Xenopus tropicalis: one gene and its partners. The protein of the gene in region 1 purifies or fractionates together with the protein of each later gene. This does not show direct contact. Links are inferred from orthologs where the notes say so. Each region holds a gene or a part of one and is shown on either strand. Other genes may lie near its edges.

Region 1 (5,911 bases):
TGTGGTACCAAGGGATTGAATTTATTTTGGCCTACATGGTGGAGGACCGGTAATGGAGGCCAGGTTTCTTGTTTTTTTTTTTAACCACACCTTCGTCAAACCACATCCATGTTATCACAAGAGCTTTTAAGACTATAGCCAAATTAAAGGTGGTAACACACATAAATACACCCAAATAATTGCAGGGATATCCCACAGGCAGCACAGTATAGGGCAGGCAGAATATGGCACACGCAGGCAGAGTATGGCACACACAGGCAGCATAGGGCAGGTAGAGTATGGCACACACAGGAAGCATAGAGCAGGCAGAGTATGGCACACACAGGCAGCATAGGGCAGGCAGAGTATGGCACACACAGGCAGCATAGGGCAGGTAGAGTATGGCACACACAGGAAGCATAGGGCAGGCAGAGTATGGCACACACAGGCATCATAGGGCAGGCAGAGTATGGCACACATAGGCAGCATAGGGCAGGCAGAGTATGGCACACACAGGCAGCATAGGGCAGGCAGAGTATGGCACACATAGGCAGCATAGGGCAGGCAGAGTATGGCAAACACAGGCATCATAGGGCAGGCAGAGTATGGCACACACAGGCATCATAGGGCAGGCAGAGTATGGTACACACAGGCATCATAGGGCAGGCAGAGTATGGTACACACAGGCAGCATAGGGCAAGCAGAATATGACACAGGCATGCTTGAGAAGGAGACAGGGAGACCTATCAAGACTATGCACTTTACAGGTGTGAACAATACAGTGGGTGTGAACAGTGAAGGAATTTACAGCCTTAATCTAAGGTGTGAACAATGCAGGAAGGCAGTTAATACTGATACCATTTAAACATACACAAAGGTAAGCAGTCACAGCAGCCAGACAGATGGGGGGGGGGGCACAAAAGGGGGGGCTACAATAGTCCATTACTGACCAAACTGCATGATGGTCTGTGCACATGTAGCCTCCTCTTAAAGCAATGAATTTGGCCCAGGAACCTTTAGGTTTACTATATACTGTATTTGTTATATGTACATGAAGAAGGACCAGAACTTCAAACATATTATTCATCAGGATTTATTGCATAATATAGTTTTAATGTTTTACTGTAATTATTAAATGAGTTCCATATCCACATATGAAAATGGCTACTCCTAGCAGCTAAATGGACAGACCAGGTTATCTACAAACTTTCAGCCAGATTTGACAGTACAGGCAGCCACCAGATCAAATGGCAGAGGCCCAGTAAGCATTTGGCATCAGTGGGTTTTCCCTCATGAATTTTCCAGCATGTTCGGTAGGACCTCCTTGGTTCTGCATATGTATACATGGGCAGCTGTTGGCCACTATAGTCAAAGGATGACTAAAGACAAAAGATGGCTAACAATATCTGCCGTGTGTAGAGCTTCAGAGTTCAGAGTTATTCTTTGTGGGCTGAACATGATGGACGCCTTTCAGGTTAAGCAGAATAAGATACTTTGTGCATCTGAGAAAGAAGCAGTGAAGGGGTATATCTGAAAATAAGCAGATGACAAGTTAGGGAGAGGAAGCATATGTTAGACTGAATAATACTAGAAAATATATAGTAGGTCAGAGTTTTAATTGGTTAACTAAGCTTTTGGGGCTACTTAGGCCCCTGCTTCAGGTACGGTAGTCACACCTGCCATTGTTTTCCAAGTTGATTATCAGTGCCTTGAGTTTTGTTATATCTGCTCCTGGGTGCCCCACACACACCATCAGCTCAGAGTGAATAACCTATTACATCAATCTATAAATAAATAAATCCTTATACGGGTATGGGACCTATTATCCAGAATGCTTGGGACCTGAGGTTTTCCGGATAAGGGATCTTTCCGTAATTTAGATCTCCATACCTTAAGTCAGATAAAAATTATTTAAATATTGAATAAACACATTAGGATTGTTTTGCCTCCAATAAGAATTAATTATATCTTAGCTGGAATCAAGTACAAGGTACAGGTATTGGATCCCTTATCTGGAAACCCATTATGCAGAAAGTTCTGAATTACGGGCAGTTCATCTTCGATAGACTCCATTACAAGCAAATAATCCTATTTTTTCTTTTTAAAATTTCCTTTTTGTCTGTAATAATAAAACAGAACCTTTTATTTGATCCCAACTAAAATATAATTCATCCTTATTGGAGGAAAAAACCTATTGGGTTTAATTAATGTTAAAATGATTTTTTGGTAGACGTTAGGCATTGTGATCCAAATTATGGGAAGACCGCATATCTGGAAAACCCCAGGTCCTGAGCATTCTGGATAACAGGTCCCATACCTGTATTTATTGCTGTTCAAGGGCTATGGCTCATGGGGCGTTTCACCAAGCAAAAAACATAGGTAGCACTCCCACTGTCTTATGGGGGTACCCCTGTCTCCATATATGTATGTATTATTTAGTAGAAGAGTAAATTATCTTGGACTTAAATGGTTTTTTGCTGTTAATTCACTGGGAATGTAGATAATCAGTGAGCAACAGGATTTTGGTTTTACTGGGGAGCTTGTTTGTATAATGGGTTTAACTGAAATATACATTTTAGCTATGGTTTCCTCTTCACTGCACACATTCTGGTGTCATATTCAACCTGTTTTTCCAGCTATCTGTACAACAGTGGTATTAGCCACGGCTCAGATTTCCTCGTTTTACATTGTATTGAAACCTTTAAAGAGATTTGCACATTGTCATGGCAGCCAGATTAACACCTTCTTACAAATATTGTACATTTAGTTTTACGAATCATGCACAAGAACTTTTCATTTCAGTTTAGCAGATGCTAAAGTATTAAGTGCTATTCTGATACCTACCGGGAGCTGCTATCTTGCTCCCTTCCCATTGTTCTGCTGATCGGCTGCTGGGAGGGGGGTGATATCGCTCCATCTTGCAACTCAGCAGTAAAGTGTGAATGAAGTTTATCAGAGCACAGGTCACATGGCTGTGGCACCCTGGGAAATGAAGAATATGGCTAGCACCATGTGACATTTCAAAATTAAACATAGCAAAAACAGTTTGCACTTTAAATTCAGGATTCTGCTAGAGAAGCTCTATTAACTGATGTGTTTTGAAAAAAAACATGTTTTCCCATGACAGTGTTCCTTTAAATTCCAAAAGATTAATGGCTTCTATGACTGGCTCCTATAGGTACTCTTAACCACCTAATAATCTCTCCCACAGATTGCTGAAGGCATGGCTTATATAGAAAAAAAGAACTACATCCACCGAGATCTGAGAGCCGCTAATGTGCTTGTTTCAGAATCCTTAATGTGCAAAATTGCTGACTTTGGTCTTGCCCGAGTAATTGAAGATAATGAGTACACTGCAAGGGAAGGTATGTGCTCTGCTTTTAATGTGCTGTAAAACAGACAAATGGTAAGATCTGTTCCAGCAATCGAGGGCTCTGTTTTATTACCCTAACAAATTGCTTCCATTATTTACAATAAGATAGTGCCAGGTTGCTAACAGATACTAAGGATGCCTATAATATTAAACTGTGACTCCCTAAAAAAGTGATTGCCTGGCTCACAATATTTATAACTGTTGTAAATAGGAAGCATAGTGATCTGCAAAATCATGTGATACTCAGCTGTGTGGCAATAAAAGGGGTAAAGAGTCTCAGTTCATGGCATTAAATGTGTGTGGTAAAATACCCTTGTGCACATACGGTGGTGCTTGAATGTTTGTGAACCCTTTCATATTTTATATTATGTGACCTAAAACATCATTTTATTTTCAAACAAATCCTAAAACTAAATAAAGAAAACCTAGTGAAACAAATTAAACAAAAATTATTATGCCTTTTCTTTCATTTGATCAACTAGGTTTATTTCATCTCATATTATGACTTTGAAAATCGGATGATGTTTTAGGTCACATTCATATAAAAATATAGAACATTTGAAAGGGTTCACAAACTTTCGATAAGTGCATTATATATATATATATATTGGAGGGTAGGCACTCACGTATAAGTAGAATACTTCGCCTGGGTGCAGTGTGGAAATATGTATAATCACCATCTGAAAAATCTCACACTCCTCAAGACTTAATAATATCCACAGCAAATTTTATTGAGGGAAACTGACGTTTCGGTCCCACTAGCGGTCCTCACTAACGAGTGAAAGTATATATCATATATATGAACAGAGAGGAGCACACACTTCACAAAACCTGGGTGCAGGTAAAACATAAAATATAAAGAAAGGTACTGCACACACAGGGACTTTTTATGTGGTGGGGGGGTATTTAATGTGGCTGTTGGGACATAGTCTGTTGGTTTGTCCCTGAGGAAGAGCACAGACCATGCTTGAAATGTTGGATTTTTTTCAATGAACACTTTTTTTCTTTGCATTAAGTCCCTGTGTGTGCAGTACCCTTTCTTGATATATATATAATGCAGATGCAGACTGACATCTCATGGCAGCACAGAAACCAGGGGATTCTGCTAAGACATACAGTATATAACCTGCTAATGCTTTAAAGATTTCCAACAACACAAAAGTTGAGATTCTCAGCAGCAGCCCAGATCTTACTGAGTGCTTTAGTTCACTTATAAGTAAATAGTTTCCATGCAAACTTTATTCATATCAGTGCTCAGGCTCTGTTTGTCAGTCCGTGCCTTTATTAGGGGTGGGGAGGCTAATGGAGTTGCTCTTGTGTGACAGCTATTGCAGAGAAACAATAAGAAAACTCCCTTTCACCTTCCCTAGAACTCCAGGAAGGAATATGCCCTGTAAGAGTGAATAGAACATGAAACTGTCTCTCACTCACTCTTGGGCTCATTTCTAAGGGAAACCACACCTTGGCACCTTTACAAGGCCGATGCGGCTAAGGTAGTGCTCTGCAGTTCTGTCATATAAAGCTGTTGGAGGCCCCCCTATATTGACTACTGGAAAATCCAGAATGACTATACTATTACATTGCTTACATGTACCCTATTCAGTTGGGCGGTTAACGCTTACAAAGCATTACAGGGTGCCATAGAATGAATAATTCAGTTTGTCTGTTAGCTGAACAAACACAGCTCTTTGTGTAAATCAAAGTCAGTAAGGCCATGTTGGCTAACTTACTGTTTATAAAGGGTGAAGTCACCAACATGGAGCAGAATAAAGGGCAACTACTTACAAACCGTTAAAAAAACAAGGCAAATTATAGTGAAATGTAACCCACCTGTGCTGTTAGATAATTGGAAACATCCTGTTTATTGTCCATCTAAATGCACAATATAAGCCAACAGTATGTCCCTTACACTATAGCAGCTTTAGATTTAAAATGTGCTCTACCTGTTATTTAGATCTCATGTCTCTATATCACCCATGCTGTTATTACTGATCGTGACCATCACCTCTTTTTTTTTTTCTAAGGTGCTAAGTTCCCTATCAAATGGACTGCGCCAGAGGCAATTAATTTCGGTTCATTTACAATAAAATCTGATGTGTGGTCTTTTGGCGTTCTGTTGTATGAAATAATAACCACTGGAAAGATCCCTTATCCAGGTAAAGGAAACTCTTTTTTTAATATATTTGTCGATTTCGAGGAGGGACGGTTCATGCCAGCCCCACTGAAGATTTTTTTGTGGAGGGGCCAAACACTTTCAAGGTATGCTACTGGCCATACCAAACAAAGGTTGGTATTTAAGAAGTTGTGAAGAGGCAACATACAGAGATAATTTAGTAAGGATGTTAGTTGAGCTGTGTGCAAAGCAAAGCACCTAATGGTTTTCTTCTGGCTCTGCAGGAATGAGCAATTCAGATGTGATGACCGCCCTGCAGCGAGGCTACCGTATGCCCCGCATGGAAAACTGTCCCGTAGAACTGTATGACATCATGAAAGAGTGCTGGAAGGAGAAGGCAGAGGAACGGCCAACATTTGATTATTTACAAAGCGTTCTGGATGATT
Region 2 (6,448 bases), on another chromosome or scaffold:
TCCTAATAAATCAGTCAAACAGTTTCGACCCAAACAGCCCTTCCAAAAACCATGCTATCCGGGTCAAAACCGGACAGGTGGCAACACTAAGGGGCACATTTACTAACCCACGAACGGGCCGAATGTGTCCGAATGCGGTTTTTTCTTAATGATCGTGGCCATTCCGAAAGTTGCGCAAAATCTGGCGATTTTTTCGTAGCGTTAAAAAGTCGCAATTTTTTCGCAGCTTTCGCGCCGAGTACGAAACATTCGGATTCATTCAAGCTTCAGTATGGTGACTTTCCTTGGGCCAGGTTGGAGCTGCAGCGTGCTATTGAGTCCTATGTCCTATGAGTCATGCTAAGTCTGAAAGTTTCGCCCGCCGCTTACGAGCGCTCAATACGAAAAAGTCGCGACAAGATACGAGCGAATCGTAATGGCTACGAAAAACTCACATTTTTTCGCGCAAGTCGTAATGGCTACGAAAAAGTCGCGACAATTTCCGAAAAGTCGTAAAGGCGCCGAAAAAATCGCAAAAAATACGAAAAAGACGCAAAATGTTCGTTTTCCAATCGGAATTTTTCCAATTCGGATTCGGATTCGTGGGTTAGTAAATGTGCCCCTAAGTATGGCAGATAGTAATGCCTATAAAACCATGTACTGCTTTTAGAAATGTCAGAGCTGTGCCCACATTCCAATAATACAATTATATTCTTTTCTGTTGTTGAATTATGAGGTTTATGTGATAAAAGGTGCAAAGTTTACTACATGTCAAGTCACCTATAGCAACCAGCTAAACGTTTACCTTTTTAATAACAGACACCTCACAGTCCCAAAAAGAAAGAAGATCTACAGATAAATTGGAGCCCTAGCTTAGGTTGACAGGAGATGTAGTTCACCAATATAAAATCTACACATATAGAGTGCTCAGAATACTGCCAGTTGACTAAAATTCGGTCAGCAGCAGCCTAATGGCAGTATTTTATGGATTCAACAAGGTAACAGGGAGACGTGTACCTTCATGATTAGATATGAACATTGACTGAATTAGCCTATAGGGACATGAGTATAAAGGTGGAAAACAGTGGTAGTCAAATTGCTCCTTATAGCCATCAGTGTTTTGGAGCCAAGGTCCACCTGAGCCGATATGTTTCTTAGATTACATTTAGAGAACTGAGTGAATTCACATGTATCTTAACATTTATTCTAACAACAACAGCTTCCAGGGTCAACCTGACACTAGCAAAAGGGTTAGAAGGAACTGGATGATTAAAATATTTTTACACCAGCAACGGTAGATTAAAAGCTGTGCCAAATATATGAAAAAGACACCAACACCACAAGGAAGCTTTCTTGAGAATACTCCCCATTTTTTATCAACACAAAAAAATCTAAAAAGCCCAGAGTTAGTAGCAAAGGACAGTACCAAAGCCCCTTTATTGCTGGATAACCCATGGGTAGAGCACAAACTGTCACCAGACCTCCACTAATTTTGCTTATGTACACATTATAACAGAGACTGGAAGCCACCGATTTTGTTCAACAATTTTTGTATTGAAGTGAAGCGCAATTTGAGCTTTCCTTGTGTAAACATTAGTTTGTTTAACTCAACTAGTATTTCTGCAAGGAATAAGTATTGCTTGTTTTTATTTCTGAGAGCAGCTATCCCTTTTACTTCTTACTGCTGCACAGTGGCGTTGAGGCTGCCATGTCTGATGCTTCATCTTCTGTGCCACAGCTCCCTGACAATGATCATCAGCCACAACAAGCCCTTCACTGGAAGGCGACCTTGTCCTGGCTTCTGGCCGTTAAATGCCATCGTGAAGCCTGAGTACTGGAATCTGAGTTAAAAAAATTCAAATTGTGGGATCATATTTTCTGTCCTTGATATTCTTGGCATTATAAGAATTTACAGATATATTTCTATTCAGACATTTTAAACAACACCCACTATCTTTTATAACATGAAAGCAATTCATTTGAGAAAATGAAAATACTGCACAGTTTTCTTGGAACCCACATGTGCAGTATCAGTTTAACACTTTTACATGCTTTGCACCATTACAACTGTCACTTCAGCCCCTCAGAAGAGTTATGTGAAGCAAAAAGGAAATGAAGAAATTACTGCACTGTTAAAACCAATACAAGTCAGTTCTCATTGGTGCCTGCAAAATATCAGATGGAGAGCTGCCTCACTCTTGGGCAACTTATTAAGGCATTACTTCTTCTCCACATTTTACCCATGTAAGAACACAAAAGATATTTATGAAATTCTGCAGAACCTCTCATAAAACAGCTATAAAACCAGTTCTACTATTAAAGTGCATCTTTCCATTTCACAGCTGTAACAGATGACAAAGAGGCTTATGCATTACCCACAAGTCTTTTTTAAGTGCAGAAGTAACTAAAAACAGTATGTTAGGAGGAGCTTTATTAATCTGCATTTAACTTTTTAGTGATAATGACATGTTCCTCTATCACTGTTAATTTGTCAAAACAAATTCCCGTAAGCCACCCCTAACAGCACTTATCTCTTCCCAAAATAGGGAGCCAGTTGTCAGCAAAGCGCCTTTCACAGGCTAGGGAACGCTTTACATTTGTAATTCAACGATCTTATTATCCTAGACTCCAAGTCCAGTGTGACCTAGTGAAGCTGCTTCACACATTGCTGGCTGAATATTGGGATTTTGTGTGTTTGATTCATGTTTGAGATGCAGGTCTGACTACACGCAAATGTAACAGTAAGTACCATGCCAGTTTAACATCTTTACCCCAGCAGTTCCACAACAATGCACACATTTAGTTATGTAACTAGAACTGCTAAAAATTCACATGGGGCTAAAAAGTTTATCCAGGTAAAATTACAGCAATCAAAGCACACTGTTCCCAATAAAACTGCCGTAATGACCTAATACTTTAAATCAGGAGAAAGATATGTAATGTTAAAGAATTGCTGTTCATCTTCAGCTTATCTGCCAACAGGCATTACACCATAGAGAACCAGAACAAAGGTCAACAACAGAAAAAAACACAATGCTACAGTCAGACATGGTTTAGACAGAGAAAATACTGATTCGGCCCCCACCCTGCCCTCTGCGCATTTGCATTAAGAGAAATGAAATCGGCTTGTCACTGCATATATAGGGAACGTTTTTCTAGAAAATTCAGCCATTAATTTCTGGCTGAAATCAGCCTTGTTGCCCTGTGACACATGGGTAAAATAGAAAGAAACACAGATGGTGCAAGACACAGAGAAATATTGCAAGAGAAAGGGGACTGCAGTGTGCAAAATGCTATTTCGGACATAACTGCCATTTTGTTTTTACCAACAATCTAGCATTTTGTCCTATCATTCCAGCATCATTAAATTCACCATCAGATGCAACTACATCCCATGCATTAAAACTGACGCAGTTGCACTTGTACTTGCACTTTGGCAGGAATCAGATGCAGCTGGCATGATTGCATACATTCACCATGAGTGTGACATAGGCCCTATGCTTTTGGCACAACTGCGACGATTGGCGCAAACCACTGTGGTAACCATGAAGCTACCACAAAGTCTGGAGGTCTGTAGCAGCCTAGTCAGTAGGTGCAACTGTTATCTCCAGATGCATCTACCTATGCAGCCACCACATCTGCTATTTTGCAAATCATTTTTGGAGAAGTCTGAACTCTTTGCAAATGTACAGAAGGGCTGAAAAGAACCATCTGTGCCACACATGGAAAAAGTTGCAATTTCCTTCTTTGTGTGAACAAAAGTCAAACGATTTAAAGAGTTTGGATTCGGCGCATCCATTGCACAGTGCTGAACACTGGCAGTGAAAAACTATATCAGGCTGTAAGGATATGGTTTAGAATGGAGTGACACGGACAAACACCGGTACCCATGTCAATATAACAGACATATTCACTAGTTTTCAGGTAAGTTTACATATTAATATTGCACACTGCCAAAGTGCACACCTTGTCATAAATAACAGAGGTGCAAAGACACTGGAGAAAACCCAAGCAGTAACTCCAAAAATAATCACAAGAGCAAAAAGTATCTGCACACTCAAAACATTTCTTTTTGTATTTACTTTTTTTAAATGTGCAGATACTTTTTGCTGTTAAGTTTACATATTAACTCCATCCTATGGGAACAAGCACTAAGGTGGCACAGGTGCGCACAGAGAAAGTTTTAGTTCCAGCCCATAGGTACTGCCCGGGCTACATAGCAGGTGTCTGTGCGTCAGACAAACAACACTTACGTACTTTACACTATATGGAGATGGTACAAAGGCGGCTGCACTTCATCTCTCCTCCGAAAAAATGTCCGACGGCGACTCGGGGCCGGTAGTTTCCTGCTGGTGTCCCCGGTGCAGCACCAAGCACATAACTGTGCGGCTCAGAGGCGGGGGGTCTGCCCAGCAGCGCTCCTACAAGGAAGTGTCCCTCTCATCTGCCCGGGCTGTACAGCGCGCTGCCCTTCCTGTTTTCACCTATTTTTTCTCTCGCATGCATTTTATGACGTAATGTCAGCCTAAAACATGAACCCTTAAAGGTGTATTCGAAAGAGGTAACCCGCATAAACCGTGTCATATAATCTGCGATTAATAGTAACGGTAACGGCACTCTGGTGCACCGCCCTTAAAAATGAAGTTTCTGTTTGTGCCGTAATGATTGTTAGGTATGTTCCAGGGTTTTTTTTTACCTTTAAGATAGGGCTGCCCGTAAATGCCCAGCTTTGGCAAGGCAGTTTCAATATCAACCACACTGCCCCGACATCCGCACATATATTCCAGGTCAGAGGGTCATTTTGACCACATCTGCAAGTGCAATATCAATGAGGAAGAGGAGCAGAAGCTCTTCTTCATATACTGCAAATCCCAATAAACAATATAAAGGAGGCTGTATGCCTATATTGTATGGCCACTCCTACAGTATCCACCTGTTACTTAAGGCATACATGCACCTAAGAAGGATCTGTCTTCAGTGCCAGTTTTACCAGGTTGCAGTTTACCTGTAGTACAATGGAATTAAATTACATTTTTAAAAAATCATTTTGACTATTCAGGTGTAGAAACCACAGGTCCTCCTTTACAATAGTGATACCACCCCTTCTCCCCATTTGAGTACTCTAGGCAAGTATGGATTGGATTGAGTATGGCGGCTGCTGGCACAGTTAGTACAACTATCTTTTGTAGCTAACTTGGGGTAGACATCAAAGGCCTGCTTCTTTGATGTCATTGTTGACATAAAAAGAAAGCTCAAAGCTGTTTGCTGCATCATAAAGTATCACTGCACTGCACTGTACACAGTCAATTGTTTTGGGTACCCACCTGAGGCCCACAACTTTGGTGGCAGACCCAGGCTGCCCAGCAAGTCAGGACTGGGATTCAAAGTAAAGGTGGCCATACATGGGCCGAATCTAACTGCCGATATCAATCCTTTAGGCTAATGCCAGACGAGGAGCAGAGCGGATATTCTCAGCAAGCGGAAAAGCGCTTGCTGAAAATACCACCCTACGCTTCCTACATGTGCCTGCACCTGGTCGAATGAGATAGGCTCGGGTGCAGGCACATGTAGCCGATATCTGCAAGAGAATACAAAGCCTTGCGTTTTTATGCTTATTACGGTTACATGTGCCTTAGTTTCGGCAGCTTATCTGCCCATGTATGGGCAGGAACTATAGAACGACGGACCTGCCCGACCAACATCTGGTTTTGAAATCGGGAAGATCTTGATCAGGCAGGTTTGATTTTTTCCATAGGATCAGGAACCGTATCAGCTCATTGATGCAGCCCCCAAACCAAGGGTGCCTATACTCACCGTTCTAATTTGATCATTTTACCCAGGGCCTCATTAAGGAAACCTAGAAAATACCACCACATACAGACTGCCATAATTTCAGGGTTCACTTGCTTTAATGCATGCACTTGTAATTCATCAGAGCAGGCTGGGTGGACATTGTGGCTGCCTTAAATCAACCTTAGTTTTAATGCTTTGCTCTTACACTTAGTTATTAAGGCTTCTATTGTTATTTTTAGTATAATCTAGTGGATGAACATCAACTACAGTATACACTTGGGCAGTGATGACCTAAATAATCACTATTATACCATATCCATATATGCTAGTAGGGACTTTGGTTAGTTGAAAGTAGAATCCACTTTGTTGGCTGGCAGAATGCACATTTTTAATAAGCAAGCCAACAACAAGAGCTACATTTTATATCTTGTAACCTATAGCAGCCAATCAGATCTTTGCATTTAGTTGATAAGAGATTACATTTTATTTGTTGATTGGTTAATTGATCAGAGCAAACATTGCATCTGTTACATTTCATCCCTATTCCAGTGCTCTGTTCTACTCTATGATATGGTAGGAAATTAAAAAAAGGAATACAGGAGGTTAAGGCCCAAGTATGAATCTGTGCAATCTCCCCACTGAAGAAAACACAAATAGATTTCATAGGAGATTGACG
Region 3 (6,461 bases), on another chromosome or scaffold:
TCCCAGTCCATCCCTTTGATTTGGATCAGCACCATGATCTAGAAGTAATCTAACTAAAAAGTGAAAAAAAACTTTTATTTTAGCATATACACAAGGAGCATGTTTTATAGTTTATAGACCAGGTTTATCCACTTTATTTTAATTATTTTCTATTTATGCCCAAGTAATAGAGCAATGACTGCCAACACAGAGAAAAAAAAAAGACCTGTCACCTTGTACTGGCTAGTGCTTTAAGTCACATAACAAGGATAAGAAATTGGTTCAGCTGAACTGTAAGTTTTTTACAACAAGTTTAAACAATGGGAAGGTAGCAAGATAGCAGCTCCAAATAGATATCAGAATAGCACTCAATATCAAGGAATCCAAGTCTGACTTGGGACTCCTCCAGTTACATGGGAGTAAGAGAAACAATAGGTTACCTGAAAGCAGTTCTAATGTGTAGAGCTGGCTCCTTCTGAAAGCTCAGACTCAGGCACAATGCACTGAGATGGCTGCCTTACACACCAATTTTGATAGATTTTAAAATGGAGTAAACCAAACTGAACTAAAGCCTATAACAGCGGTCCCCAACGGTTTTTGTACTACGGACCAATTTACAATTTAGAAAATGTTTCCACGGACCGGTGGGGAGCGAATTTCAATTACCGGGAGGGGGACGGGACAGAAATTAGCAGACCAAGCAGGCAAACAGTGTTTGACACCTATGAAGCGCAGTTGTGGCATTTTGCTTGTTATTGTGTCAGACCCGTGCGTGTGATATGTGGTGTAATGCACATCAGCACATCATACGCAGCCTTATGCGCGTCATATGAGGCGTTATGCTTGCGGTCACACGTCACTGCACTGAGGGGTCACTCTTACCCAGGTGCTGCCACAAATGCGGGATATGCAGCACTAGCAATATGTGCTGCAGTAGACATTCCAATGTACTGTAATATAGGAACAATGTTAGTATTCTTCTTAAGCCAAACTGCATCTCTTAGTCCAGAGTTACCTTATTAGTGCCAAACTCCTGAAAGAACTACAACCCTCCTGCTAGGCTGTGTATACTTTGAGTGTCTGAAAGTCTAGATATACTCCTTTCTCTGCTTTGTGTTCACGCAATATTTATCACATGATAGTTTTCTGTCAGTAAAAGTACTATGCCCTCACACAAAATATTGGTAATGAAGATTTGCCAATAGTACACAAAAATGATTCTTTTTCTGTCCCTATTCAAGTTTATTACCAATTTGGTCATTTCCGTTGCACGATGCAAAGTGAAGTGCTGTCCGTCCCTTGTCATCAGCTGCACATGGATCTGCCCCCTCATCTAATAATCGTTGTACTGGAAGAGAGCAAAAGGGGTTATGACCAATCACAAGCAAATATGAGGGGTGCTATAGGAGGGCAATTATTATATAGGCTTTTAAAGTGGATATTCTTAAGTCCTAATACACTATATTTAATAGTTTAAAGAAATATGAGTATGCTCATTTATTTATTTAATTTTATTTTTAGCTTTGATAGTATATCAAGCTTGTGAAATACACACCTGTATCCAAATCATTTCCATTGGCTGCTTCCCTTAGCTTCCTTAACGCTGAAAGTACAAAATTAAGTTTAGTTAATACTGAGGTTCATTACTGACACTAATGCAACTGAAATCAGCCTATCCACCAGGCTCAGACAGGCATTCAAAATAGGCCCTGGCATTTCAGAGGCCCCAACAGACCACTAAATAGTGACTGCCTATGGCATCTCGCAGCAGCCCCTCTGACATTTGCCAGAATCTACAGACTGCCAGTCTGGGTCCACTAACCACCACTTAACACCTCCTTTATGTAAGCAATTACCAGGATTCCTTGGTGTGTAATGAACATGCAAAGCACAGGGAGATACTTAAATATTTGTGATGGAATTCATAAACAGGCTACACAGGTAAACTAGCATTGAGGGGGGGGTGACTATGGGTGGGGATGCTGTAGCTGGCTCTGATTTCCCCTGATGGTATCTCTGTTTATATAATCAAAGATCATTTTATTACTCCATGCATAAATGCTTAAAGGGGTTGTTCACCTTTGAGTTAACTTTAAGTATGATGTAGAGAGTAAAATTCTGAGACATTTTGCAATTGATCTTTGTTTTTTTTATTATTTGTAGTTTTCAGTTCAGCAGCTCTTCAGTTTGGAGTTTCAGCACTTGGTTGCTAGGGTCCAAGTTACCTAAGCAACCAGGAAGTGGCTTGGACGAGAGACTGGTACAGGTATGGGATCCCTTATCCGGAAACCTGTTATCCAGAAAGCTCCGAATTATGGAAAGCCTGTCTCCCATAGACTCCATTTTAATCAAATAATTCAGAATTTTATAAACGATTTCCTTTTTCTCTATAGTAATAAAACAGTACCTTGTAACTGATCCCAATTAAGATATCAATAATCCTTATTGGATGCAAAACAATCCTATTGGGTTTAATTAATGTTTTATTGATTTTTTTAGTAGACTTTAGGTATGGAGATCCAAATTACAGAAAGACCCCTTATCCAGAATACCCTTGGTCCCAAGCATTCTGGATAACGGCGCCTATACCTGTATATGAATAAGAGAGAGACTGAATAGAAACGAAAGTTACAAGAAGTAACAGTAACAATAAAACTGTAGCCTCACAGAGCAATAGTTTTTTGGCTGCTGGGAACAGTGGCTTCCATTTTAAAACTGCAAAGAGTTGGAAGAAGGCAAATAATTAAAAAACTATAACAAATAAACAATGAAGCCCAATTGAAAAGTAATTCCATAACATACTAAAAGTCTTAATGGTGAATCGCCCCTTTAATCCCCATTTAGAAGCCCCCCTACTACTTTCTACTGGAATACTAAGCACAATCCATTTATTCCAATTGTGAGACACATTTTCAATGTCAGACAAGCATTCTTGGGGTACAGAACGTATGGCTCTGGAGCCAGATGTGGCTCTTTTGATGGCTGCATCTGGCTCACTAACAAATCTTTAATAAAAAAAATAACGGGGGGCGTGGCCTGCGCACGGCGAATAGAAGACGTGTTCTAAGCCTTAGAACACATCTTCTATCTGCCGAGCGCAGGCCACGACCTCCTCCGCATTGCATCCGGCATCCTTGGCACCCACCCTACCTTGCCCCGCAGCATCCACGGCCAAACATATTGTATGGCTCTCACAGAATTACATTTTAAAATATGTGGTGTTTATGGCTCTCTCAGCCAAAAAGGTTCCCGACCCCTGTTGTATAATGAATGGGCTGAAAGCACGAATACTCTAGTCCACATGATACTGTGCATGTCTACTAAGGTAATACCAGAGAAACAGAGCAATGCACCAAATATAGTAGTGATTCATATGAGTGGAGTTACACAATATATGCATAATTATACTGAAGAACTCCTCTGTACTACTCTCCTGCTGATGTTATTCTTTTGTATCAGCTGCCTATCCTAGATGATTCTTAGCATCAATGCTTCCCACCCAGTGACCAGTAAGATCCACTGTCTGACACACCAGTGATAATAAACATGTCCCACAATCTTTATGGCCCCCTTGCAGCCCCAAGTATGATAGTGTTCTCCCCTGAACAAAATTTTTTGTACAAGCCAACAGGACTGGACACAGTGCAGTATTATTGGCTTCTGAAATGAGAATTCTGACACCGTGTGCAACGTGCGGGCCAGAGGGGCACCAGGTGGTGGGGAAAATACCAGTCAATCCACCCCGTAAAAAGGGCCTGGGGAAAACATTGAGCGACTTCTCTAACCAAATACTGGGTCACTGGGGCTCATTTACACACACAATCCCTAATACTTCCAACACTAAACACAATCTGGTTTCCCAAACTTCTGTGCAATTTACCCAGAATGCCAAGCAAGTTTAGAAGAATTGAGAAATCACCATGTCTAGTAGGTTTGTAATAACTGGCGCAGAAAGCCACGTGCTTTGGCTTTTTAAAGGGGGATCTCCACCCAAATAATGTCTGTTGCATACTAAAAATGTAATTCTTTCCAATACACATTAATTGAACATTTGCAATGGTTTTAAAGTTATTTGCAGAGGAAATTGCTATTTTGGTTCAAACGTTACTTTAGTAACCCTCTTCAGGCGTTCAGGTGCCCATATCGGTACAGCATATTACCATAGTTCTCTCTCCCCAGGGGACAGAGCCTGTGACGGTGCTGCCGAGTCTTAACGCGACCTCCTAGGTTTCTCCGTGGCCTCTCTGGTTCCTCCCATAAAGCTCTTAAAAGCTCGGGTACCTCGGATACACAGAAATCCCCTGCCGTGGGAACATGACATAGTTCTGTCGGTACAGTCTTACTAGCCTGCTCCTCAAGCTCCATTTGCTTCACAGGTTCCTAAAGGACCAGCAGGCCACAGTAACCATAGCAATGGAAGGCTACAGCCAATCGAAGACTGCGAAGCGTAAATCTCGACCAATCAGCTTTACTGATTTCTATCAGCGCTATGACAGTTCCGGCCAACCAACATGAACAGACTTTTGACAGCGAGCGGCAAAATACATATAGCCATCCTTCATTGGTTGAAAGATCTTGATAGACAGTTGTTTCCGCCAGTAACTGATGGGCAGCTGTAAAGCGGAACGATCCGGCTATAAAGGCCTCCAATGCCGTGCAGTCCTGACGCATTATGGGAAGTGTAGTTTTGGACACCGCAGCTACAGAAGCCATTAATGATGGTTTTCACAACGTTACTGCTACTTGTCTTGTGCAATTCTAAATACAGTAAAACCATTTGTGAAATATAAATGAGGCTTTTGTAAAATGAAAAGCCATTCAGAACCCAGTTTCTGAATGAGTAGCTGCTGAGGCCAAGTAGGGGGCCGACTAGAAAAGATTGTAAGCTCTTTGGGATAGGGACCTCATCCCAATATTTGTTTTAATATTTGTTTTAACTGTCTGATTTATAATGACCATACCCCTGTTTGTGTCTATTGCTTTTAAAGCTCTGTGTACCCTTGTGGGGCTATATAAATACAATATAATCAATATATGATTGTGAACAATGTTCATATTACTAATGTTTATGTGGACCCAAAACAATTTCATTGTATGTTCCTGTAACTGCATATGAACTGACTGTGCAGTTCCCAATATTTTTCTCTTAATAAATCAGCTTCTTTCACTTTCCTTTATCTCCTTTGCACTGCTTTATGTGGGGAGACCAGGGTAACACATATCTATGGTGGCCACCTGGCCAGTAAAAAATGATGCCAATGTTATGAAAGGGTATCTATCACATACAAGTAACAGAGCCCACACTACAGATGGGGAAAATAAGTGACCCCCTCCCCCCCAAGCACTTGGTGGAAGCTCCCAGTGTGTATGGCCATGTTGGGGTAGATGCATATCTCCTATCTGTCTTAATTTTTATGGGACAGTCACAGTTAAGCACACAGCCTGCTGTCCTGGACTGTATTCTTATTCCCACACCTTGTGTCTCAACCCTTTCTCCTTGTAGATTGTTAGCTCTTTTGGGCAGAGCTCTCTTCACCTCTTGTATCGGTTATTGATTGCTTTATATGTTACTCTGTATGTCCAATGTATGAAACCCACTTATTGTACAGTGCTGCGGAATATGTTGGCGCTTTATAAATAAATGTTAATAATAATAAATTGTGCCACATGTCATGGCCAGCTATCAGCTCCCTGCTCTTCTAAACAAAATCCAAGATGCTTTGCCACTGTGGAATGCACCATTGTGGATTTTTTTTTCACAGTGGTTTAATAATCAGGAAGAGGGAGGCTGAAGAGTTATCTTACTGGCACATCTAGGGTTAATATGCACATTACCCATACCCACATCTGGGGTGTGTTTTGGTAAAATGGGTGTGTTTGCTTATGTGCATGTCCACAAAGTGAACAAAAAAATATTCCCAGCTTGGTCATAATTCACGTTTGTGACACAGGATCTGGGAATGGTTCAATAAATCCTATATCACACATATTTGTATAATACTAATACTTGTGTTAGCATAATATAGTTTCAGCTGTGTTGCTATAATTAAAAGAGAAACCCACAGATATTTTTTATATAAATTGAAAATAAAAGCAGTATTTGTTTGTCCCTCTCTGCACTGCTCGTTCAGACTCTTGGAACAGTAAAGGAAAAGCCCTGCTTCTTGAGCATGTCATTAAAAATGGCAGAAATGTAGCCCCAGTCTATAGGTTGTGCTGCTTCTTTGGAAGCATAATGTTTGTTTGTGACACATTGCTGTAGTTACCAGGCCAAGCTGAACACAAACAATTGCCACAAACCAAGGGCCTGTGGCTGCTGGGTGCCAAGTATAGGTGGCATAAAGAAGAACAGTTTTATGACGGTGTGCCTCCCTTCCACACAGAATATACCAGTTATAATTACAAGATCTCACTACATTTACTTTAGTAAGCGCGCGCTTCTCCAGCGCCATCTCTCGGCAGCGCTCATTAGTACGCCATGA

What was found. Proteins that work in one complex are often made in the same cells at the same time.
Region 2: the proteins of lyn (region 1) and plcg2 purify together in Homo sapiens (affinity purification with western blotting; 3 studies listed by BioGRID, with this or other methods). This does not show direct contact. The link is inferred for Xenopus tropicalis from reciprocal best matches to the Homo sapiens genes LYN and PLCG2.
Region 3: the proteins of lyn (region 1) and ankrd54 purify together in Homo sapiens (affinity purification with mass spectrometry; 3 studies listed by BioGRID and IntAct, with this or other methods). This does not show direct contact. The link is inferred for Xenopus tropicalis from reciprocal best matches to the Homo sapiens genes LYN and ANKRD54.

What each region holds. Positions count from the first base shown.
Region 1 is NC_030682.2:115,678,115-115,684,025, forward strand, and holds part of lyn (tyrosine-protein kinase Lyn), read left to right. Parts: intron 1-1,056; exon of another isoform or gene 1,057-1,509; intron 1,510-2,823; exon of another isoform or gene 2,824-2,863; intron 2,864-3,190; coding exon 3,191-3,344; intron 3,345-5,376; coding exon 5,377-5,508; intron 5,509-5,749; coding exon 5,750-5,911. UniProt on the Homo sapiens protein: Non-receptor tyrosine-protein kinase that transmits signals from cell surface receptors and plays an important role in the regulation of innate and adaptive immune responses, hematopoiesis, responses to growth factors and cytokines, integrin signaling, but also responses to DNA damage and genotoxic agents.
Region 2 is NC_030680.2:64,131,192-64,137,639, forward strand, and holds the start of plcg2 (1-phosphatidylinositol 4,5-bisphosphate phosphodiesterase gamma-2), read right to left. Parts: upstream 4,464-6,448; 5' UTR 4,237-4,463; intron 1-4,236. UniProt on the Homo sapiens protein: The production of the second messenger molecules diacylglycerol (DAG) and inositol 1,4,5-trisphosphate (IP3) is mediated by activated phosphatidylinositol-specific phospholipase C enzymes. It is a crucial enzyme in transmembrane signaling.
Region 3 is NC_030680.2:122,076,148-122,082,608, forward strand, and holds the start of ankrd54 (ankyrin repeat domain-containing protein 54), read right to left. Parts: upstream 4,464-6,461; 5' UTR 4,345-4,463; coding exon 4,140-4,344; intron 1,583-4,139; coding exon 1,535-1,582; intron 1,328-1,534; coding exon 1,229-1,327; intron 54-1,228; coding exon 1-53. UniProt on the Homo sapiens protein: Plays an important role in regulating intracellular signaling events associated with erythroid terminal differentiation.